Linked DNA regions of Canis lupus familiaris. The protein of the gene in region 2 purifies or fractionates together with the protein of the main gene of each other region. This does not show direct contact. Links are inferred from orthologs where the notes say so. Each region holds a gene or a part of one and is shown on either strand. Other genes may lie near its edges.

What was found.
Region 1: the proteins of DDX17 (region 2) and DROSHA purify together in Homo sapiens (co-immunoprecipitation; 3 studies listed by IntAct, with this or other methods). This does not show direct contact. The link is inferred for Canis lupus familiaris from reciprocal best matches to the Homo sapiens genes DDX17 and DROSHA.
Region 3: the proteins of DDX17 (region 2) and DHX9 fractionate together in Homo sapiens (co-fractionation; 3 studies listed by BioGRID and IntAct, with this or other methods). This does not show direct contact. The link is inferred for Canis lupus familiaris from reciprocal best matches to the Homo sapiens genes DDX17 and DHX9.

Annotation. Positions count from the first base shown.
Region 1 is NC_049225.1:76,747,217-76,754,322, reverse strand, and holds part of DROSHA (ribonuclease 3), read right to left. Parts: intron 5,600-7,106; coding exon 5,500-5,599; intron 4,062-5,499; coding exon 3,954-4,061; intron 1-3,953. UniProt on the Homo sapiens protein: Ribonuclease III double-stranded (ds) RNA-specific endoribonuclease that is involved in the initial step of microRNA (miRNA) biogenesis.
Region 2 is NC_049231.1:27,287,617-27,294,722, forward strand, and holds part of DDX17 (probable ATP-dependent RNA helicase DDX17), read left to right. Parts: intron 1-705; coding exon 706-856; intron 857-1,510; coding exon 1,511-1,610; intron 1,611-2,205; coding exon 2,206-2,339; intron 2,340-2,993; coding exon 2,994-3,059; intron 3,060-4,373; coding exon 4,374-4,515; intron 4,516-5,247; coding exon 5,248-5,408; intron 5,409-5,495; coding exon 5,496-5,668; intron 5,669-6,012; coding exon 6,013-6,123; intron 6,124-6,374; coding exon 6,375-6,436; intron 6,437-7,106. UniProt on the Homo sapiens protein: As an RNA helicase, unwinds RNA and alters RNA structures through ATP binding and hydrolysis.
Region 3 is NC_049228.1:16,163,133-16,170,238, reverse strand, and holds part of DHX9 (ATP-dependent RNA helicase A), read right to left. Parts: intron 6,214-7,106; coding exon 6,053-6,213; intron 5,264-6,052; coding exon 5,152-5,263; intron 4,557-5,151; coding exon 4,395-4,556; intron 4,283-4,394; coding exon 4,155-4,282; intron 3,007-4,154; coding exon 2,777-3,006; intron 2,415-2,776; coding exon 2,299-2,414; intron 1,588-2,298; coding exon 1,387-1,587; intron 1-1,386. UniProt on the Homo sapiens protein: Multifunctional ATP-dependent nucleic acid helicase that unwinds DNA and RNA in a 3' to 5' direction and that plays important roles in many processes, such as DNA replication, transcriptional activation, post-transcriptional RNA regulation, mRNA translation and RNA-mediated gene silencing.

The DNA.
Region 1 (7,106 bases), on a different chromosome or scaffold from region 2:
GAAGCCATATGTCTCTCAGAGGTATAAATCTCCATTTCCTCCCCAAGTTCTAACTTAGAAAATGATTCCTTTGAATGTGTTGTCCAAAACCTCTTAATCTCTCGATATTTTTCTTCAGCGTTCAGTCACCCCTTGGTAGATCACGAAGTGAGAATGTCAGTTAGTGCGATATTGCATGGCAGCCTTCTATTGCATTCCAGAGTCACTGCGTGAAGACATCACAGCTATTAATGAGTCCAAAAACAGCCCTATGTCTACTCAGTACAAATACCAACTGTCACAGCTCAGCTTGTCTTCCTGGCGCCAAGGGCAATTCTCCACACACCTGGACCTCTGTAGTTTGCTCAGGGAGTTAGCACCCCCAGGTACGGCATAACCTTATAAGGGTTATATAACCATAATGGTAGTGCATTCCTTGCGCCTTTTTTGAGGTCTGTTTGTCACCTTTATCCATTCCCCATTCTATGGTTCAGCTTACGGATTCTCACGAACCACCTCCTTACTACAGCAGAGGATACCAGGTACCTGCTTCTATAAGATACCAATTCAACCTCGGTGGGCAGGACCCCATTCTTAAAATACAGATCCTGTAGCAACATGCTGCCTTTCTTCCTTTTCTGAGGCATACTTGAATTTTTCAGCCTCAGTTTCAAGTTTTATTTTTTTATTTTTATATATATATTTTTAAAGATCTTATTTATTTATTCATGAGACACACACACACACACACACAGCGAGAGAGAGAGAGAGAGAGAGAGAGAGAGAGAGAGAGAGGCAGAGACACAGGCAGAGGGAGAAGCAGGCTCCATGCAGGGAGACTGACGCGGGACTTGATCCTGGGTCTCCAATCAGGCCCTGGGCCAAAGGCGCTAAACCGCTGAGCCACCGGGGCTGCCCCAGTTTCAGGTTTTAATTCTTGCTTTTGGCCCCCGTATTTCCTAGAAGTCACTCTAATAAACAGCAACACAGAAAAAAACCTTTCAATAGTTTTGTCTCTATACAGTTTCAAGTTCTGCATTTAGTTCACGTGTAATTACAGGTTCCAGGCCCAGCCCTGGATTTCCATCCTCCTAACATTGGTTGGGGCATCAGGTAGAATTTTCTAACCACATAAAAACCCTAATAACTTCTCTGGTTGGGAAATTATACTTCTAGAAGAAGAGGCTGGTACTTAGGTTTCTCTACCTTAGATTTATCAAAACAAGTTTTATCTCCAGCAGCAGCCAGGTAACATCACAAGGCTTTTGCCAGCAACCTACTGGCAATTATTACCAATGAACAGTAGGTTCTGTATCAATGAGTTAGCAAATAGAGAATCCCTCCCCTATCCCCACCCCTGAAGATTTTAGAGAAGTGCTTTTTTTTCCTTAAAATTAAGTACGAGTCTGTTACAGGCTTTAAGATTATTCAAGAGGGATCCCTGGGTGGCGCAGCGGTTTGGCGCCTGCCTTTGGCCCAGGGCGCGATCCTGGAGACCCGGGATCGAATCCCACATCGGGCTCCCGGTGCATGGAGCCTGCTTCTCCCTCTGCCTGTGTCTCTGCCTCTCTCTCTCTCTCTCTGTGACTATCATAAATTTAAAAAAAAAAAAAAAAAAAAGATTATTCAAGATTATTATTTAACTATTATTTCTCAGATTCTTCTCCTTCAATACCAAACATACTAAATGCCTTTATTTTGAAGGTTTTAAACTGCATTATTACATGCCAGGTGCCATCTTATTTGAGGAACACATACAAAAAAGAAACATTTATTCCAGGATAAGAAATTAAATAAAGCCAACATTACTGGTAAAAAATAGGAGGATTGGAAACTGGAAACATGGCTTCTAAACAGATGGCAGTTGTCTTTGGAAGAGGGGGAGTCCTACAGAGGAAGGGACTATTATTAGATCAAGGAGTATTCACCTTGGCAGGAGTTTTAATCAGGATCCAATTTCTCTGACCATTTAGTCAAAGGAACTGAGTGTTTTTGCCAGCCAGTCTCCAAACAGAATGTAAAATATAATACATGTAGATCTGATAACCTCGTCCTCTGGCTGCTTCTCATCTAAGAAGTCAGCGTAAGATATTTGTGTCCACAGCTGAAGAACACAGAACTGCAATGGAACAGATGATTCTGCACCCGTATGCATGCATGTCGCCAAAAGAGAGGAAAGCGGGCTCGATGCTTTAAACAAAATTGTGTTCAGTGGAACAGAACTGCCTCAGGGCCTGCTACACAGGGTGGAAATCAAGTACAACGGGAGAACTCCCTCCATACCCACCACCCACCAATCAGTTATTTTTTTTTATCTTTTTACAAATTAGGGCTCTACAGAATTTTGTTTTTAAAAAAAAGTTCAAAGTTAACCAAAAACACAAGTTTAAAATTCACTGAGCTGAAAGATCTCTAAGGTCCCTTCCAGTTAATAATGCTCTACAATTTTATGATGTCTCTATCAACTCTGACTTATCATTGAGAGGACCAGATTTTGAGCAGATTGTTGAACATTCTGCTCATGGTTTTGTTTTAAGATTTTATTTATTTATTTGAGAAGGAAAGAGAAAGATGAGAGAGAGAGAGAGAGATCACAAGCAGAAGGGAGGGGCAGAAGGAGAGGGAGAAGCAGGCCCCTCACTGAGCAGGGATCCTGGGAATCATGACCTGAGCCAAAGGCAGAGGCTTAACTGAGCCACCCAGGCACCCTCTGCTCATCATTCTTATGCTGTCTACCTTAGGATGACATTATGTTTGTTTTGGAGGAAAATAAAAATTAGATAATATAGCGTCAAGGTCCTAAGAAAAAATCAGCAGAAGATACTCATTTCTGAATACTTAGAGTAAAAAATTAAAAAAAAAAAATTGGTCAGTTAGCAAAATAACTGACAACTTGGTAGATACAGCTGGCTGCCACTATAGAGAATTAATTCTCCATCTAGTAACATGGCATCAACAGTAGTCCATCTTAACACAAAAATATATAGCTCTGGAATCACAATGTAAATGAATCACCTAGCAGTACCTTTAATAATAAGATTAAATCCCACTGTTCAATATAATAATTAAATGCCAACACTGACTTAAAGAAAAAATACCTCATTATGATGAAATAAATACCCAAGACTGCTTGAACGTATTACCAAACACATGCTACACAAAACAAGAGTGAGTGGAAGCCTGTAAGCATTCTTCCCAAAGGCTGAACATGGCACACTACACTACCTGACCTGACCCCTGCCTGGGTGACCTCCTCGCCTTTACTATAATTCCCATGGAGCACAACCAGTATCAATCATAACAAGAGAATTGAGTGAAGAGTCAGAGAATATGTTGGGTTTTAGGGGTCTCTAATATATTATAAATTCCACTCATAGGGAAAACAAAAATAGTTATTAGTGAGAGTTATATATAGTTGAAATGTTCCTCTATTAGTTCATCTAAGGAAAAAATCTGTTATCATTTGACTCAAATATGAAATTCATACTGATTTTGTTCATTAATGCCTTCAGTTCTCTGCAATGTAAGTTTGACTCATCAGTCTGGAAAGTCTGTACACATCATCTTCAGGAGTCTGCCTGTACAGCTGCTGGAATCGCTCTTTTGACAAGCGCCCACACGCATTGCACACAGGCAGATGCATTTGAAAAACACACTTGCCTTCACTCAACAGGCAGAGACAGAATTTAGCATTACTAAGTAACTGCCCCCCAACTCATCCTACCACCGTGCACATGTATGCATGCATTCATGCAGGGGCACACACACGCACACACACACACAGCTAAACAAGATGAAAACTGACACAAAAACAAAACCCAAACAATAGAAAACAATTTATGGTTGGTGTTCCATTTAGCTACAAGATTGTATGTTCTGTAGCAACTCATCTCATCCGCATTAGGAAAACTTCAGTGGCAGATGCCTTTTAAAGAGATATATAGGTATAAATGTGTTCTTAGAGGCGTCATCACCTGACAGACATCAGAACGGATGCCAGTTTTCCAAAATCCTTGACTACTTAGCTCCACTGTTACTTCTCGCCTCATTGTATTCTTCTGTCGTATTTTTTGGAGTGCTTCCTAGAAAAGAACTCATTATGATGAGTAAACTGACAGCTGTAAAGCAATATTAAGCCAAACATCAAGCATTGGAAAATAAGCTGGATTCATTCAATATCACCCTTACATTCAGGTATTCAAACCTCTTCATGTTAAATTATAATATTTTATTTGAAATGAAGGCCAGGATGCTCAAAGCCTTGGGTATATGCCAGCCTTTCCTGGTACCTAGATATGAAAAAATCTAAACCAAATCGACCATTCTGGTGAGTTCAAACAAAAAATGCCCCTTTGCTGATAAAAGAAACAACATGTGATGTTTGAGACTTAAAATCAGCATGTAAAAATTATATTTATATCAAGCCTTATGTTAAGCATTTACATCTAAGAAAGACAATCAGTAAACTAATCTGCAACCCACATAATTCTAAAAGCTGTCTTCTCATTTGCAAAACCCTTACAAAACCTCTTGCAGCAAGGGTACCTTTTTATTTAAAAAAGACAATGATTTAAAACTTCTGCAAGATATAAAGGAGCTGACTCTTCCCTTTTACCTCCCTTCAAATAATTAATTATAAAAATAATTTTATATTTGTACACTTATTCAATAAAAATCTCATAAGAGTTCATAACAACAGGAACTATCACACCACCTGCCTCATTAAATGCCTACTACAGATCAAACACCATCGGAGGAAAGTTAAACGGAGTATTTCAGAAGTCCACACAACCACCTTTTTTTCCCAGATGCACCAACAGAAACAAATTTCAGTCATCCTCCCTTAATCTAGTTCTCTCTTTATAATGAAGCTATCTGGCTCAAGTCACAGGAAGTGACTGGACCAGAATTCAAACACTTTTCCCAGCTTCAAAGCCTTGCTCTCTAACACTGCCCAAAGCAAAATAAAACCTCAATGAAACAAAATTTATGTTGATACTGAATTGATTTATTCTTAAAAATGATCCTGGAGTACAGGGATAATACTACCCATTAGTAAAAAATATGGACTTTGGGACATAAAACCTTATGAAAGAAGTTTACCCTACTAAACTAACAGACATATGGAAGACATATGAAAGGCAATCTTTTACGACCTTAAGTACAAGAAATTTGAGCAAGACCCAAGTTGTGTTATGTACAGTCTAATTAACAATAAAAGGTTGACCCAGCAATTTTAAAATTTGAAAAATCTCTATAAGATATATTTATTCCCAATGGTAGGAATCCATTAAGAAAGAGGCCTTTTTTGGTGTGGTGGTGGTGGTGGTGGTGATAATGCTCCTCTAGATACTAAAAGATGAAAAAAATATCAATCTGTATACTAATGTGAGGAAAGAAAAGTGTATTTTTAAAAGTGTTTTTCCATTTTATTCTAGAAGTATGGTATAATGCAATAATCTTGAAATAAACATGAAACACATCAACATTAATCCCAGAAGAACAGGATTTGATACCAACCTCTCTTTGTGCCAGCTTCTGTTTGTCAGTTTGTTTAACTTTGGGACTATTTGCTAGGAGGTGGCGAAGTTTCACATAACTCTTCCACAGTTTCTGGTACCTAAGGAAAAGGACAGACAGACATCTCAGAAAAAAAGTAGGAGAATCTGAAATGCAATAAAACCAGCTGTTTTAATAGGCCTGCTGAATCATAAATTACATTCTTTAGATATCCTTAATGGCAACAAACCTTCATTCTAAGGAAGCATATGATCTGGGGACAGTGGGGCAGGATGACCGAGAGTCATCTGGAACCTAGTGGTTAAGTTGATAATTTTAAGTCTGTGTTGAAAATGAGGTACCCTATAAGTGCCCGAATCTCTGTGGAAAGAATTCATAGACACATAAAAACCAACAGAAACACGTATTATTTCTCATCATTACCTATTTTATTTAAATATGTACTTTCTGATGTTATTGAAAGAAAGACCTCTTACTTAACAAGGACTGTTGGTCTCTGAACTGCCTACATTGAAAACAGAAGTTGAAGAGTATTAGAAAAGAGAATCCCACTTGTGTCAATACCCGAGCTCTACAGCTGTATCCGTTTCTCCACTGGAGAAGGAAAAAGACAAATGGTGTGCATCCATTTGTATTTACCATGACAAAAATAAGCATATTTGCTGCAGCATATCACAAATATGTGATAAGCTGGATCAGACTAAAGGATCTTGTTAAAACATCCTGGGAATGAAGAGAAATGCAGTCCTGCAGCAGCACATAGTCCTGCCACCTGAGAATCCACGAGAGCCTATCACATTCTACTAACATTTGTGACAAGAAGGGACTTTCAATGAATTTTCTGTCCCTATTAAAACTGCTCCTTTCTTGGCCTTAGCTGGGTCTCTCCTTTTTGGTAACAATTTTTTAGAGAATGGAGGAAAGAAAGAAGTACTTACACAGTGCCTGGTTCACTGCTTCATACTTTTATCCAAAGGGGGGAAAAAAAGAACAAAACCCTTTAGCCTCTTCTAATGTATCAGCCAGAAATGTATTTATGAATTGAAAATCTCCCATGCCCTTTTCTCCCATTTTGAATCCTTAAAAAAAAAAATTAAGTCAAGAAGCTGTTTGTTTGTTTAACGAGGTAGGAAATCCAAACACTTCTGAAGAATATAATGGTACTATTTCCATTCCCACACATCCTCATCTTCTCCCAGAAAAACACTAACAAGAAGTTGGAAAAACTCAAATGTGCAAAGTAACATCAACTCTAAGTGTCAGAAGTCATGCCTTCTCCTTACAACACAACCCTTGACTTTGCATGGGATCTTGAGCTCTTATTAAGATGCCTCCCAAAATAGAATTCTGCATAAATCCAGCAGTGCTAGGAATCAACATGGTGCTACTTTCCTCTAGAGAGCACTGAAAAAATAAATAATAATAACAATAAATATTATAATGATGAACGAAGGAAAAGTTCCTTAAAGGTTAAAAATATATGGGACTCATGTTGACCAAAATTGCCAAGGATAATCTAATGAGTAATAATTTCCTGCAGTCAAATCGAAAGAGAAAATAATTTTTCAGGAGCTACTAAAACTTGTTTCATTTGGTAACCTAAATTT
Region 2 (7,106 bases):
CCTCACAGGGAGCCCGATGTGGGACTCGATCCCTGGACTCTGGGATCACGCTGTGGTAATCAGATGCTCAGTGCCACCCTGGCACCCCTGCCAGATACTTTTTTGAGCACTTTATATTAGTCACTTCAGGGATCCCTGGGTGGCGCAGCGGTTTAGCGCCTGCCTTTGGCCCAGGGCGCGATCCTGGGGACCCGAGATTGAATCCCACGTCAGGCTCCCGGTGCATGGAGCCTGCGTCTCCCTCTGCCTATGTCTCTGCCTCTCTCTCTCTCTCTCTCTCTCTCTCTGTGACTATCATAAATAAATAAAAATTTAAAAAAAAGATTTTATTAGTCACTTCATTTTCACAACAATCTCTGAAATAAGTGGTTGTGTTGTTTCTACTTTACAGAGGAAACTGGAGTATAAAGAATTTAAATTGTTCAAATTGTACCATAAGAGGCAGAATCAAAATTCAAACCTTTGCAGTGATTTCTAAACTTAGAGTTGTTAATTTTTTATCTGTTGTAATCATACCTGTAACAATGTTACTGGATTGTGAAGGAAGTTTTACAGACTTTTTCTCCATACTTTTGAGTAAGAATAAAAAAATATTCTTTGGAGGGGGCTTGATAGTATCCTAGGAAGCAGTCTTTTTGCTTGTTCTTATGCCACCCAAGGTATATTGCTTTTAAGATACTAATAAAAAGTTTTTGGTGTTTCTAGATTTGGTGCAAGAGGTGGTGGTGGCCTTCCCCCAAAGAAATTTGGTAATCCTGGGGAGCGTTTACGTAAAAAGAAGTGGGATTTGAGTGAGCTCCCCAAGTTTGAGAAGAATTTTTATGTAGAACATCCAGAAGTGGCAAGACTGACTCCGGTAAGTTTGGGGGATTTACCTTTTTTCTATACGCAGTAATGAACCAAGTTAACATTAGGCAGACTTCACTGCTGTTAGATGTTTATTCTAGTGTAGTAGTTCCCTTAGATTCTTACTAAGACTACTGGTACTTGCATGAGGAAACAGTTTAAATATTTACCTAATCTATTGTTTGGTTCTCGTTTATTGGCTATGCTTCCCAATTTGTCGTATATGAGATTTTAACTATATGAGGTATCTTGTCTTTCACCTACATTAAAACATTGACATAATGTACTTGTTTTTTTAACCTTGTTGTGATTGTTTTGGATTCCACTCATTGAAATGTTCAAAAAAAGATAATGATGGAAAAAGCACTTGGTCCAAGTTCCACTGTTTATCCCTCATCCTAGTTCTGACCCTTGGGCAAATTTCTTTTAATATTTCTAAGTGTCTGTTTTCTCATGGGGAAAATAGAACTCTTCTCACATGCTTCATTAACTCAAAGTTGGGAGGATCTTTGCAAATTAATGAAGTTGAATGTATATGAAAGCAGTATTAGAAGTGTTAGATATTTTCCAGTGTAACTGTATAGTTAATTGTTCATCTTGATTGGAACATAAAGTGTTATATGTTTAGAGTAACTTATTTTTCTTACTTCGTTTTCTTCCATAGTATGAGGTTGATGAACTACGCCGAAAGAAAGAAATTACAGTGAGAGGGGGAGATGTTTGTCCTAAACCTGTGTTTGCCTTCCATCATGCTAACTTCCCACGTAAGTGTTCTTCAGTCCAGGATTGTAATTGTTAATTTTATTGAATGGTAAACATGGATAATGGGTTATTTAAAGGTTTTGATTCAGGCTTAGGATTTTATTGAAAGAGGCAAGTTGAAACCCTTCATAAAGGTAATAATATACTTCTTTAAAAATTTCAAGACTTTTAAGTAAATGCTGTATTGTTGCATAAGAGTTTTTTTATGCTTATGTTTTTTATTTTTAAGCTTTTTTTGAGTTTTTCATCTTCCCCCTAGAAGTTTTGCCTCTACCTTTTAGAAAACCATGAAATTGCTTTCTAGCTGGATATAACTTGGCAAATAATACGTGACCAACAACCATGTGCCCATGCTGTATTAGAGACTTTAGGGCAATAGTTTTTAAGTATTGAAGGGAAGAGTAGATAACTAGGGCAATAGTCCTCTGAGATAGCCAGCAGATCAGAGATTCAGTAACTAAAGAAAAAAACAGCACTTCTCTTGGAGATATGAAGCTGGGTAAATCTTTCCTTTGATGAGCTGAATGGATTTTTTTTAGAATTCTATTGGCTGTGTCCTTGTTTTACCTGAAAGCACTGACATTTGTTCTCTTACAGAATATGTAATGGATGTGTTGATGGATCAACACTTTACAGAACCAACTCCGATTCAGTGCCAGGGATTTCCTTTGGCTCTCAGTGGTCGAGATATGGTGGGCATTGCTCAGACTGGCTCTGGGAAGACTCTGGCGGTATGTACCGGCAAGGGAATGTTAACATTATGGTAACTTATTTTGCAGATTATCCCATTAATTTTTTTTTTTTTAAGATTTTATTTATTCATGAGAGAGAGTGAGGCAGACACACAGGCAGAGGGAGAAGCAAGCTTCCTGCAGGAACCTGATGTGGGTCTCTGATCCCAGGACCCCAGGATCATGACCTGAGCCCAAGGCTCAACTGCTGAGTCACCATTCATTCTTTAAAAATTCTAATTCAGCAGCTCCTGGGTGGCTCAGTCAGTTAAGTGTCTGCCTTTAGCTCAGGTCATGATCTCAGGGTCCTGGGATCAAGCTCCACATCAGGCTTGCTGCTCAGTGGGGAGCCTCCTTCTCCCTCGGCCCCTCCCCCTTCCATTCATGCTTTCTTGCTCACTCTCCCCCTCTCTCTCAAAATAAGTAAATAAAATATTTTTTAAAAATTCTAATTCAGATAGTGTAGGTAGTTTCAGCTTTCTTAGGTATGGGGAATGTGTGAGTACGTTGTGTTCAAATTTACATTGCACATACGTGTAACAGTTGAGAGTTCTGTTTTCATTTTTGTGGTTAGGCATTATCAATTAACTATGGTAACTTAAAATAATGGCTTACTTTTGGAATAAGACTGTCATTGTTTTCCCCCCTCCCTAGTATTTGCTGCCTGCAATTGTTCATATTAACCACCAGCCCTACTTGGAAAGAGGAGATGGCCCAATTGTAAGTGTATTTATAATTCTAAAAATAATCACAGTTTAATGGTAACTGTGTTTCAGGCATTGTGCTTTACATGTGTTTTAGATTTTATTCTCAAACCCACCCTCTTTTTCTGGAAGTGATGTCTCCATCTTACTGATAAATTTTGACACAGTGCTATTAAATGATTAGTCCACAAAGTCATAATAGCTGTTAAATGGCTGAGTTTGATTTTGAATAGTCTTACTCTTTTTTTTTTTTTTAAATAGTCTTACTCTTAACTGCTATGTGTGCTGCCTTCATCTATAGGCATTTACTCTGCAGTAAAGTCAGAATTCTTAATTATTCAATGATGGTGTGAGGGATAAGGAAGTATGAAAATGATATCCCTGCCATTTGTATGTAAGTCACATTTAGGATATGTATTCTTTGTGGTTAAGTAATACTTTTAAAATTTTTATAGGGCAGTATGATTTTCTGGTTTATTTTCACTTTTGCTATTTCCTGTAAAATGTGTGGAGTGGTTATCAAACATTTTTAATACATTCTTACCTGTTTTTTAAAAATTGAGGGGTGCCTGACTGCCTCAGTCAGTAGAATATGCAGCTCTTGATCTTGGGCTGTGAGTTGGGAGCCCCACGTTGGGTGTAGAGATTACTTTTAAAAAAATCTTTAAAAAAAATAATCGAGCTTGCAGCTTGGATTTGATAAGTCTTTACAAATAGGTACATTATTACTGTCTCAAAATAGTCACAAAAAACTTTGCACACATAACTTTGCAATGTGTGATATATTCCACATTGCTAGTTGAATTAGCTAATTGAATTAGTAATATTTCATGGATCTACACAGAACAGGATCTGTTGTTAATATTGTATATAATAACCTATTTCAACGAGTCTTCTAATTTTGTATTGTTTTGATTATAAGTCACTGTTTTTAACCTAATGTGTCTGGCTGAAAGCTTACACTAGAAGTCAGAAAAATGTCTACTTTGCTCTTTCCTTATTCATCTAGTTTTCTACTAATATTTAATTTAATTAATTTAATCGTTGGCTAATGTCACTTGTTCATTTTGTGAGAGTTGTTTACCTAGTTAAAACTAGGTAATACAATCTGTAAATCCACTTAAAAAGCACAAACTATAATGAATCCTATATCAAAAGTAAACCATCATTTCACATGCTAAATGTTTTCTATCACACTCCCATATGCTGTCTTAAACTGTCTTCCCCTACCCCCTCACATAATTTTTAAAGTACCAGATTAGACAATACAAAAAGAATTTAAATGACCTTTTTAATTTGATGGTGACTTAAACACGTGTGTTTGTTTCAGTGTCTAGTTCTGGCTCCTACCAGAGAGCTTGCCCAGCAAGTACAGCAGGTGGCTGATGACTATGGCAAATGTTCTAGATTGAAGAGTACTTGCATTTATGGAGGTGCTCCCAAAGGTCCCCAAATTCGAGACTTGGAGAGAGGTAATTTAAAATATATATATATCATGTAAGAATTAACAATTTTTCTCATCTTACCAATTTTTATGAATGAAGTTGGAGAGGAAAATAGTGGATTATTTTTGGAAAAAATCCGTAATTCAGCAGCTTAAAAATTCCCAGGTACAGTTAAACTGCTAATAAGGGAAAAGTTTTTACAGAGACCAACTTTGTGGAGATTTGATGATTATAAATAAATCTCTATATCTTGCTTTCCCAAGTATTGTGTTAAAATTTAACTAGTGTGCGGTGCCTGGGTGGCTCAGTCTATTAAGCATCTGCCTTCAGCTCAGGTCATGATCCCAGGATCCTGGGATGGAGCCCCACTTCTGGCTTCCTGCTTAGCAGGACGCCTGCTTTTCCCCTCTCTCTCTGCTTGTGCACATGCTTTGTCTCTCTCAAATAACTAAAATCTTTTTTTTTTTTTAATTTATTTTAAAAGATTTTGTTTATTTACTCATGAGAGACAGAGAGAGAGGCAGAGACACAGGCAGAGGGAAAAGCAGGCTCCAGGTCTCCAGGATCAGACCCCGGGCCAAAGGCGACACTAAACCGCTGAGCCACCTGGGCTGCCCAACTGAAATCTTTTTAAAAAATTTTAGTTAGTGCTCTCCAGTATTGAATGCAACCATCAGAGCTGGTGCTTCTTAGTTTGCTGAGGCTTGGACAGTGTATAAGGAATTCTTAGTTGGCTATATCTTTGGTTTTGTTTTACAGGTGTTGAGATCTGTATAGCTACTCCTGGGCGCCTGATAGATTTCCTGGAGTCAGGAAAGACAAATCTTCGCCGTTGTACTTACCTTGTACTGGATGAGGCTGACAGGATGCTTGATATGGGCTTTGAACCTCAGATCCGTAAAATTGTTGACCAAATCAGGGTGTGTAAAACTGATGATACACTGTCTTTATTCCCATTTCCTGTCACAGTTCCTTAGCCTAAAAGAAAGCCTTTCTTCTCCTGGTAGCCTGATAGGCAGACATTGATGTGGAGCGCAACCTGGCCAAAAGAAGTAAGACAGCTTGCAGAGGATTTCCTTCGTGATTACACCCAGATCAACGTGGGCAATCTGGAGTTGAGTGCCAACCACAACATCCTCCAGATTGTGGATGTCTGCATGGAAAGTGAAAAAGACCACAAGTAAGAGGGATTTTACTGTTTTGATAATGCTGTTAAACTTTTCCTGATAATCCTCCCAAAATTAAAGCATTGAAGAAGCCTGAAATTTTTTGAGGGCCAAAAAATGTTAAAAGCATTACTAGCTTACCAGCTATCCATTCTTTATCTCATTCTCCAGAATATTGTAGTTATAAGCGAGGTACTGGATTCTTAGAATTAAATCCCAGTTCAGATAGTTAACAGCTGTATAGAAGATAATGTGAAAAGAGTACTGTAGTTTTGAGGAATTAATATTGTATACATAGCTTTTACATAATGTGTGGGGAGATTTTATCTGAATGCATTTTTGCTGGTCTTGTTTTCAGGTTGATTCAGCTCATGGAGGAAATAATGGCTGAGAAAGAAAATAAGACAATAATATTTGTAGAGACAAAGAGACGCTGTGATGACCTCACTCGAAGGATGCGCAGAGATGGGTGAGTGCAGCACTGAGGTAATTAGCTTCAGGTTTTATATTTATAGTTTAGTAGGAATTTCTAAATTGGTATTATATATATTGTATATTTCATAATGCCCGTCATGCACCTTACTCTTTGGATGGACACAGTCATCTATTCATGTAGCCTAATAAACCTTCACAATTCTGTGTGATAGTTCTTCTTTTTAAAGTTTAGTTTCTCTTTTTTTTTAAAGCTTTCTGAAATATTGGTCATTTTTCTTCTGACAGTTGGCCAGCTATGTGTATCCATGGAGACAAGAGTCAACCTGAAAGAGATTGGGTACTTAATGGTGAGTTAAGAACTAAATATTGTCCATACTCTATTTTAGGGATGGGCAAACTTTCTGTAAAGGATCAAGAAGTAAATATTTTCTGCTTTACAGACGATAACGGTGTATCGTCACAGTCACAGAATTTCTGTCAGTCATTTGGTTCTCATTACGGCAAAAAAGAATGGACATAGGCAATATGTGAAGATCAGCTTGGTTGTATTGCAATAAAATAGTAAAAATAGTATTTCTAGATTTGATGCATAGGCCAGAGTTTGCCTAGCTCTGCTCTAGTTAATTGACTAGTAGGGACATTTTTTAGCATATCTCTACTGTCTTTGAAAGTCACTAATGCTGGCTCTTTACACTTTTTTTGTAATTTAGACTATCTTTTATTTAATAAGGTCTTGTCTTTATAGACTGTTCATCAGCCTAGAGAGTTCCCCAAACCCTATACTTCTGGGATTTTTTTTTTAAAGGTTTATTTGAGAGCAAACGTGCACGTGAGTTAGGGGGGAGAGGGCAAGAGAATCTCAAGCTGACTGCGCTACGCGTGGAGTCCTATGCAGGCTTCATTCATAGTATAGGCCTGATTGATTATTAATTCAATCTCTAGTCCTCTCCCGTTCTCCAAGGGTAGGGCGTAGGGCTGAAAGTTCCAAGCTCATATAATCATGGCTTGGTCTCTGTG
Region 3 (7,106 bases), on a different chromosome or scaffold from region 2:
TTCATGCATCCTAAACTCTGATATTTATCCCATCCTTTGTAGGTTCTGGAATTTTGTCCTTCAGGGATTATATGTGAAGCTTCCTTAATCACCATCCTTCCTGCTGAAAGTAATCTCTCCTATTCTAAACACCTACAATTGTTATCTACCCATGACACTTCTTTATCTTTCTTTTTGAAGACTGTCCTCAATAATTCTATATATCTGACCCACTGGGAGAGCAAAGTATACACAATAAATAAGTGTGCTGTTTTAGAAGCTATTTACTGCCTTAGTTTGAAATCCAGTCCTACCATTCACTGGCTGTATAGCCTTGGATCTTAATGTCTCTGTGTTAGTTTCCTTACTCATATTAAAGGGGAAAAAGATCTACCTACATCATAGATCAAATGTTAAAATGAGTTAATATCAGAAAAGCACTTGGCACAGTGCCTGGTACACACTGAATACTATGTGTAAGATTAATAAATTTTAAAAAGTAAACTAGTTATAGCAAAATGGGACTCAGAATTCAAAAAGGACACAGTTCTATATAATAAAATTATTAACAGTTTATAACCAAATGCAGTAATGATCCTTGAAAGGAAGATCAAAGAATTATTCTTGGATGATTAGAAAAATTTTAGTATGTTTCTAATATTAGATAGGTTAATATTTAAAATTTTGGGGTGTGATCATGGTATTGCTATGTGCTTAAAAGATGCATGAAGTATACTGATGTAAAATGTCCTAAGCTCTGCAACTTAGTCACAAATGATTAAGCAAAAGTAGGTGTGTGCACACACAAATGTATAAAAGCAGGTGTCACAGAATGCTGACAATTAGTGAGTTTAGGTTCTAAGACTTTATTGGTGTTCACTGTACTACTCTTCTGCCTTCTCGGCAGATATCAAATATTTCCAAATAAAAAGTTGTAAGCAAAGAAAGATTAAAAAGGTGGAAAAAGTCAACCAAATAAGACATTTTAAGAATTAAGAGAAATTTCACACTTAAGATATTTGCATTCTTGCATTCCCCTACTAAGATGAACCTTGAGGCTTTTCATTTGAAGAAGCTCCGATTTAACCCCTCAATCAACATTTTTTCATTGGAGAAAGCAAAAGAGTACCGTGGAAAGAGAATGGTTTGGGCTCTGTCACTTTCCTGTCATGGGACCGACCCTGGACTTTCTCTGACATGCACTGATACAATATACTATTAACACAGACAAAAATTAGTAACACCCTTTTTTCTGAATGTGTTAACCCGCATTAAATCTCATATTCAGTGTTTGTCTAGAATTTTAACGTAAATAAACAAGGCCTCTATTAGCTAACTGTGAATTTTAGGCCAGTGTAAGATTACTGTCTTCTGCTTGGTTCAAAGAGATGTTACTGTGGTACTCACCGTGTACTGCCAATCATGAGGTTGATACCAGCAGCTGAGGGCCTAGAGATTTGGCGAATCATGTTTAGCATATGTTCATTAACAGGGTCCAACTGGCTGATGATATTAGGCTGTTTGGTTACTTCAACAACCAGAGCTTCCATGGCTGCCCGGAGAGCAGTGATACAGGCAGCAGCTTCATGAGATATTTGCAGTCTGATCCTAAAGCAAAGAAAAATGATAAGGTACAAGAAGGGTATATATAGCAAAGACTACTGTCTCTCAATTTCACACATGGTTAAGTGATGGAATAAATTAAACTTCTTACTAAGTACCAATACTTTCAACTCCTGCAATGAACCCTACTTAGGCAAACACAGGTATGAAGAATGGTAACAGTTTTTAAGATCCACTGCTGGCTACTGGCAGGTATTGTAAACCAAGAAGTCTATCCAGCAAAATATTGTAAGCAATATAGATCATTCAGTTTCCAATAAAAGAATGAAAGAGACTCACATTGCTGGAGTTGTCAAGAATATGACTGAGCCTACTGACTGGTCAACTAAGATCTACTCCCTTTTTGTCAAGTGCTTACTACATGTTTACCAGTAGTCTCTAACCAACATACAGAGTACATGAAAAGGTACCCAAGTTTCAAGTAGATTCCAATTCCCTAGGGTAATATTCATGTGGGGCAGATGTAGCTTCAATGCCTATGCAATTGCTTCCACTGGTATGACTTACTATCAAGTATGAACTGTACTACCAAGATATACCACTACTCTCCAAGAAGAGACAATGTTATAAAACACTTCATTTCTGCCATGAAATTTTGTCATGTTTATTCCGCAAATAAAGTTAGATTAGCAGCTAAATCCCATTACACCTCAATTCTAAGAATGTGGTTTGAAGTTCACATCTGAAAATCCATACCAGTCATCTACGAGCACGATCTGCCCATCAGACTGGACCTTCTTGGAGGCAAAGAGAAGCAACTGCAAGGGAGTGACTAAGGTCATGCCCTTAGCAGAGATGGCTCGGGTTCGAATCTGCAGATGGAAAAGGAGGCAAGAGGAAACAGATGACATTCCAGGTTGTCAAATGCCATATAATTTATTGAATTATGCTTTAAAAATAAAAACTCACATTCCCACCGCGCATTAATAAGTAATGACAATGTAGATTTCTAATGTAAATTTTTCTTTTTTTTGAGGTTGGGGGAGAGAGAGGAAGAGTGTGCTGGGCAGAGGGAAAGGCAAAGAATCTCAAGCAGGCTCCATGCTCAGCACAGAGCCCGACACAGAGCCCTGAGATCATGACCTGAGCTGAAATCAAGAATTGGATACTTAACATACTGAGCCCCACGCAGGCGCCCCTCAATGCAAATTTTTCTAAACTAATCTTTTCTTACCTTTTCACCAAATACAAAGAAGGGAGATGGGTACTTCATGTCTTGGCTGCTAAAAGGACAATTAACAGACGACTTGTGGATAAGGGCATTACGCCCTTCAGTGGTGAGAATCTTTCTTTTTTCCTTATGATAGCACACATTAGGGTACACACCAAAAGCCAGAAGAGAGATAACAACATCCAAATTATTATCTGGTCCAGTGTTAGTAAACACTTGGGTCAACAAGCAATCTGTTAAGAGGAATGGGGTAAAAATATCAGATTATCTGGCTAATCCTCGGATTGCATGTAAACTTAAGAAAATTAGGACTGACTCCTTCCCACCTCTTTTTTCAGATTTCCTGTCTTCTCAGAACTTTTGCACCCATATTTTAAGTTCAAGGAGAAATTCTGAGTCTCCACAACAAAAAACTAAAATACTTACATTCTCTTATAGACTCAACCATAAGAGTTGAGTAGTTGAGTGTTTACTTAAAGACAAAAGCCAACTCCTCACTCAGGTTATCATCTACTTGCTAAAAGTGAGCCAGACCTAACAGGTGAGTAAAGTGGAACATCTACTGTTCCTCAGTAGCTGTTTTTTTTAAAGACAGAATGACAGTTCAAGGGGAGCCCACTGGAATGAGGGCTGATGTTTCCACCCACACTATGCTCTTTAGAAGTACTTCCTCATGGTTGAGAAGCATGACAGTGACCACTAAGAACATGGATATATTCTGTGCTGGACAAACCTAAGTTCTAGTCTCATCACTTAACTGAATGAGTTTAGACAAGTAATTTAAACCTCTGTGTTTCCTCTTCTATAAAACAGAGTAATATCTGTATCTTGGGATTATTGTGAGGATTCTATCATATAAGATATGTTCTTCCTTTTTTCCTTTGATTTTGACTTAAAAAATTACAAATTTAGTCCATTTACAACAGAGGAAAACATTTGTCTAGTTACTTAGATTATATCCTTTTGAAATTTGCCATCTTGCCCAACTATGTTCTCTGTCTCTCAACTATAATACAGCTATGTCCAGTTGTGTGCTTCAATTCCCAACTTTAGGAAATGACGCTCTTTTAATATAGTTGGAGAACAAAAGATTAAAAGCTCAACTAATATAAGAAATAAACAGCTAAATTACTCTCTCTCCATCAAATATCAAAGCCTCCTTACTCTCCAGCACACTTAAAGGCACTTAAAATTTAACATGGTAAATTTCATGTCTAAACACAAATGTGGGCAGAATGATCAATCACTTGACAAAACACTATTTGAGGTTATTCAACGAACACAGGGTCTAAAGTCTGAAGCTAAAAGACACTGCACTGTCAACGTGCACATGCTACATAAATGTCACTTTAGATAGATCCTTAGAATCTGAGAGTCATACCTTCTGGAAATCCAGAATTAATCAGAATCTCTTTGAGCTGAACTTTGGCTTCCCAGGTCATTCTTAGTGTAGCCATATTGAGTCTCTTGTGCTCACAAAAACGTATCTCTGCTTCTTCTCCACCCATTCTAAAATAGGTAAGAGTCATTTTTTTTAAGAGTCATTCTCAAAGCCCCAAAACACATTAGAAACTAAAGAGAGTTCTCACAGCTTTATAACTTTCTGCTTTCAAATGCATACCTAGCATCATCCCAAGCCTGGAAGACCGATAAAAGGGCCACATGATCAGAAAATCTGTTTCCAGCAAAATTTCGATGAATATAACCCAGTCGCTTTCCTTCACTAATGAAAGGCTCCGGAAAGCAGGTTGCAGCAGAGATGGTACAGACGGCGTCTCCCACACTGAAACAGACAGGAGAATTCAGCCTCATACTTTCTTTCCAGCAGTTCACGAGCCATACTGTCACTGTGGGTCAGTCTTTACTGGCTATGATACTGCTTTATCAGCACCAAGACTGGCTTAACAAAGAACTTTTACAGTTGCTCCCTCCAGAAGCAGAAAGAGAAAAAAATGAAGGAGCTCTAATATTAATGGATGAATATTTACCATAAATTATGACCAAGTATTTTATTTTTCCTTTCCTTATTCTCTTCCCCATCTTCTCAACTCTCTTAATTAATCTTCAAAATTTCCTGATAAAGTATACCTGTTTTCCTAGTTCCATTTCTCTTTTAAAGACAACCACTTACGCTCCTCAGAGGAACTGTGCTTCCCTTTTGAGAAACTTGTGCTCTTTCCCCCAACAAGCTGAGCCCTGGTACCCATCTACTGGTATCATGCATTCTCATTTCATACTTTGCTTAATATCTGAAGTATGCCACTTCTAAGAATTTAATTTTTTCTTCTGAGCCCATCCTGTTTTTTATGGCAAGGGGAATAAGATCCTGAAATTGTTTTTCTACCATTTAAGTATCAGCAATAAAACAAAGCACTTACTAGAAAATACATCCCATTATCATCATTTTGCCAAAACGAGGCTCAATGGGGAGTTTAGCCAGGATTCGTCCCAGAGGAGTCAACTCATCATTGGCATCTAACGCATCAAGTTCTGTGGGGAAATATTTCTTTATGAGCAGAAACAGTAATGAACACTCCTTTAACTGAGGCAAAGATGAAAAATTTAAGGTTAATTGAGTTTTTAATATTTGTCAAGTCAACTGCCAGCACCATGCCCATAGCCAATAATTCTCTTTACTCAAAAACAGAACAAAACCAAATTCTGGAGCACCTAATAGGGAGAAGGTACTAGAATTAGGTCCTGTAAGCTGTAAAGCTTGAATACAGCCCATGCAAACTCTATAGATAAAATAAAAACTAAAATAACAGCATAAGTACATATGCCCTAAACAAGTCTCATGCCATCTACAGGTAATTTTTAGAGAGAAATGAGATGCGAAGAGCCAAAGTCTAAATAAAGTTCATATAGCAGATGAGTATTGGATTCAAAATCAGATTCCCTTGGCCAATGTTCTTAGTTTTTCCCATGATACTACACCACTTCTATGACATGATTAGAAAATACAAATAGAGATTTTAACAGATACACATAAAATACTAGATAGTGAGTAATTCATATTCTAATTGTTAAATACTGGTGAAGAGGTTTGTGGGTTTTTTTTTGCTTTTTTTTTTTTACCAAAAGAAGACTCATGTTACTCCTTTCTTACCCCATGTTGCTCATTTTATAAAACTGACCACACTAAATACATAAGGTAGCACTGGAAGTCTTACCACAGCCTGCCAAATGTATCTTGATTCATCTGTTACATGTTAGTTGCCAGGACAAGACAAATGGCATAATTAACACGTGTTAGGTAGGTTCTGTGTTTATAGGTACCTCTAAGGGTATGCTCTGCTTCGATCACAGCATCCAAAGGTGGAGGTTCAATCGCCTTGGCCAGAAACTGGCCAATTCCTCCCAGACGCAGAAGTTTTATGCTCAAAGCAATTTCGTGTAATGGTGTTCGGAACATCTCAGGTGTCATATGGGTTTCAAGTCTAAGTGAAGAAAAGCAGAAAATAACCATCCACTCTTGTATATACATGTCTGTTTGACAAAATCTTTGCAGAGAGATAATCAGGTTTATAGAGCTCTCCTTCCCTCACCCTTTTATAATTAACAAAAAATGTTTTGTATTTACCACAAAGACTCTCTGGACAAGACCCTTTTAACTGCTTGAGCAGTGGTTTACCACTTACAGCTTGATAGTATTTTTGTCTGAAGAGTGAAGGAGGATGAAAAAAAGAATTCTTAATGTTATTACCCATACCTATGACTTCAGGTCTTGCCTGCTGACAAACCTGAGTTATAAACAATGGCTAAGAAGGGAGAGGGTGAGGAGACAGGCAAAAATGGGTGAAGGGGAGTGGGAGATACAGGCTTCCAGTTATTGAATGAATAAATCACAAGGGTGAAAGGTACACCCCAAAGAATATAGTCAATTGTATTGTAAAAGTGTTATATGGTGACGGATGGCAGTTACACTTGTGGGAAGCACAGCATAATGTATAGAGTTGTTGAATCACTATGTTGTACACCTGAAACTAATGTAACATCAGTTATCAACAATACTCAAAAACAAACACCTCTCACCCCCCCCACCCCTAAATGGTAATAAGACTTTCTGTGGAGATTTGGGCTGATACTAACATTTCCCCACAATCACCTTCCCTTTCTGGTTCGTAAAATTTAGTGCCACCAGAAAGATTTTACAGATCATCTAACCCTTAAAAATTTTAGTAGTAAGTTACTATTACAAATTAATATTAACAATGATAATAGCTAACATTTACTGAGAGCTTACCATGTACCAAAGCACTGTTCTCAGTATTTTACATTATTAACTCATTTAGTTCTCAAATCCTGTGGGTTAGGTATTATCTATCTTCCT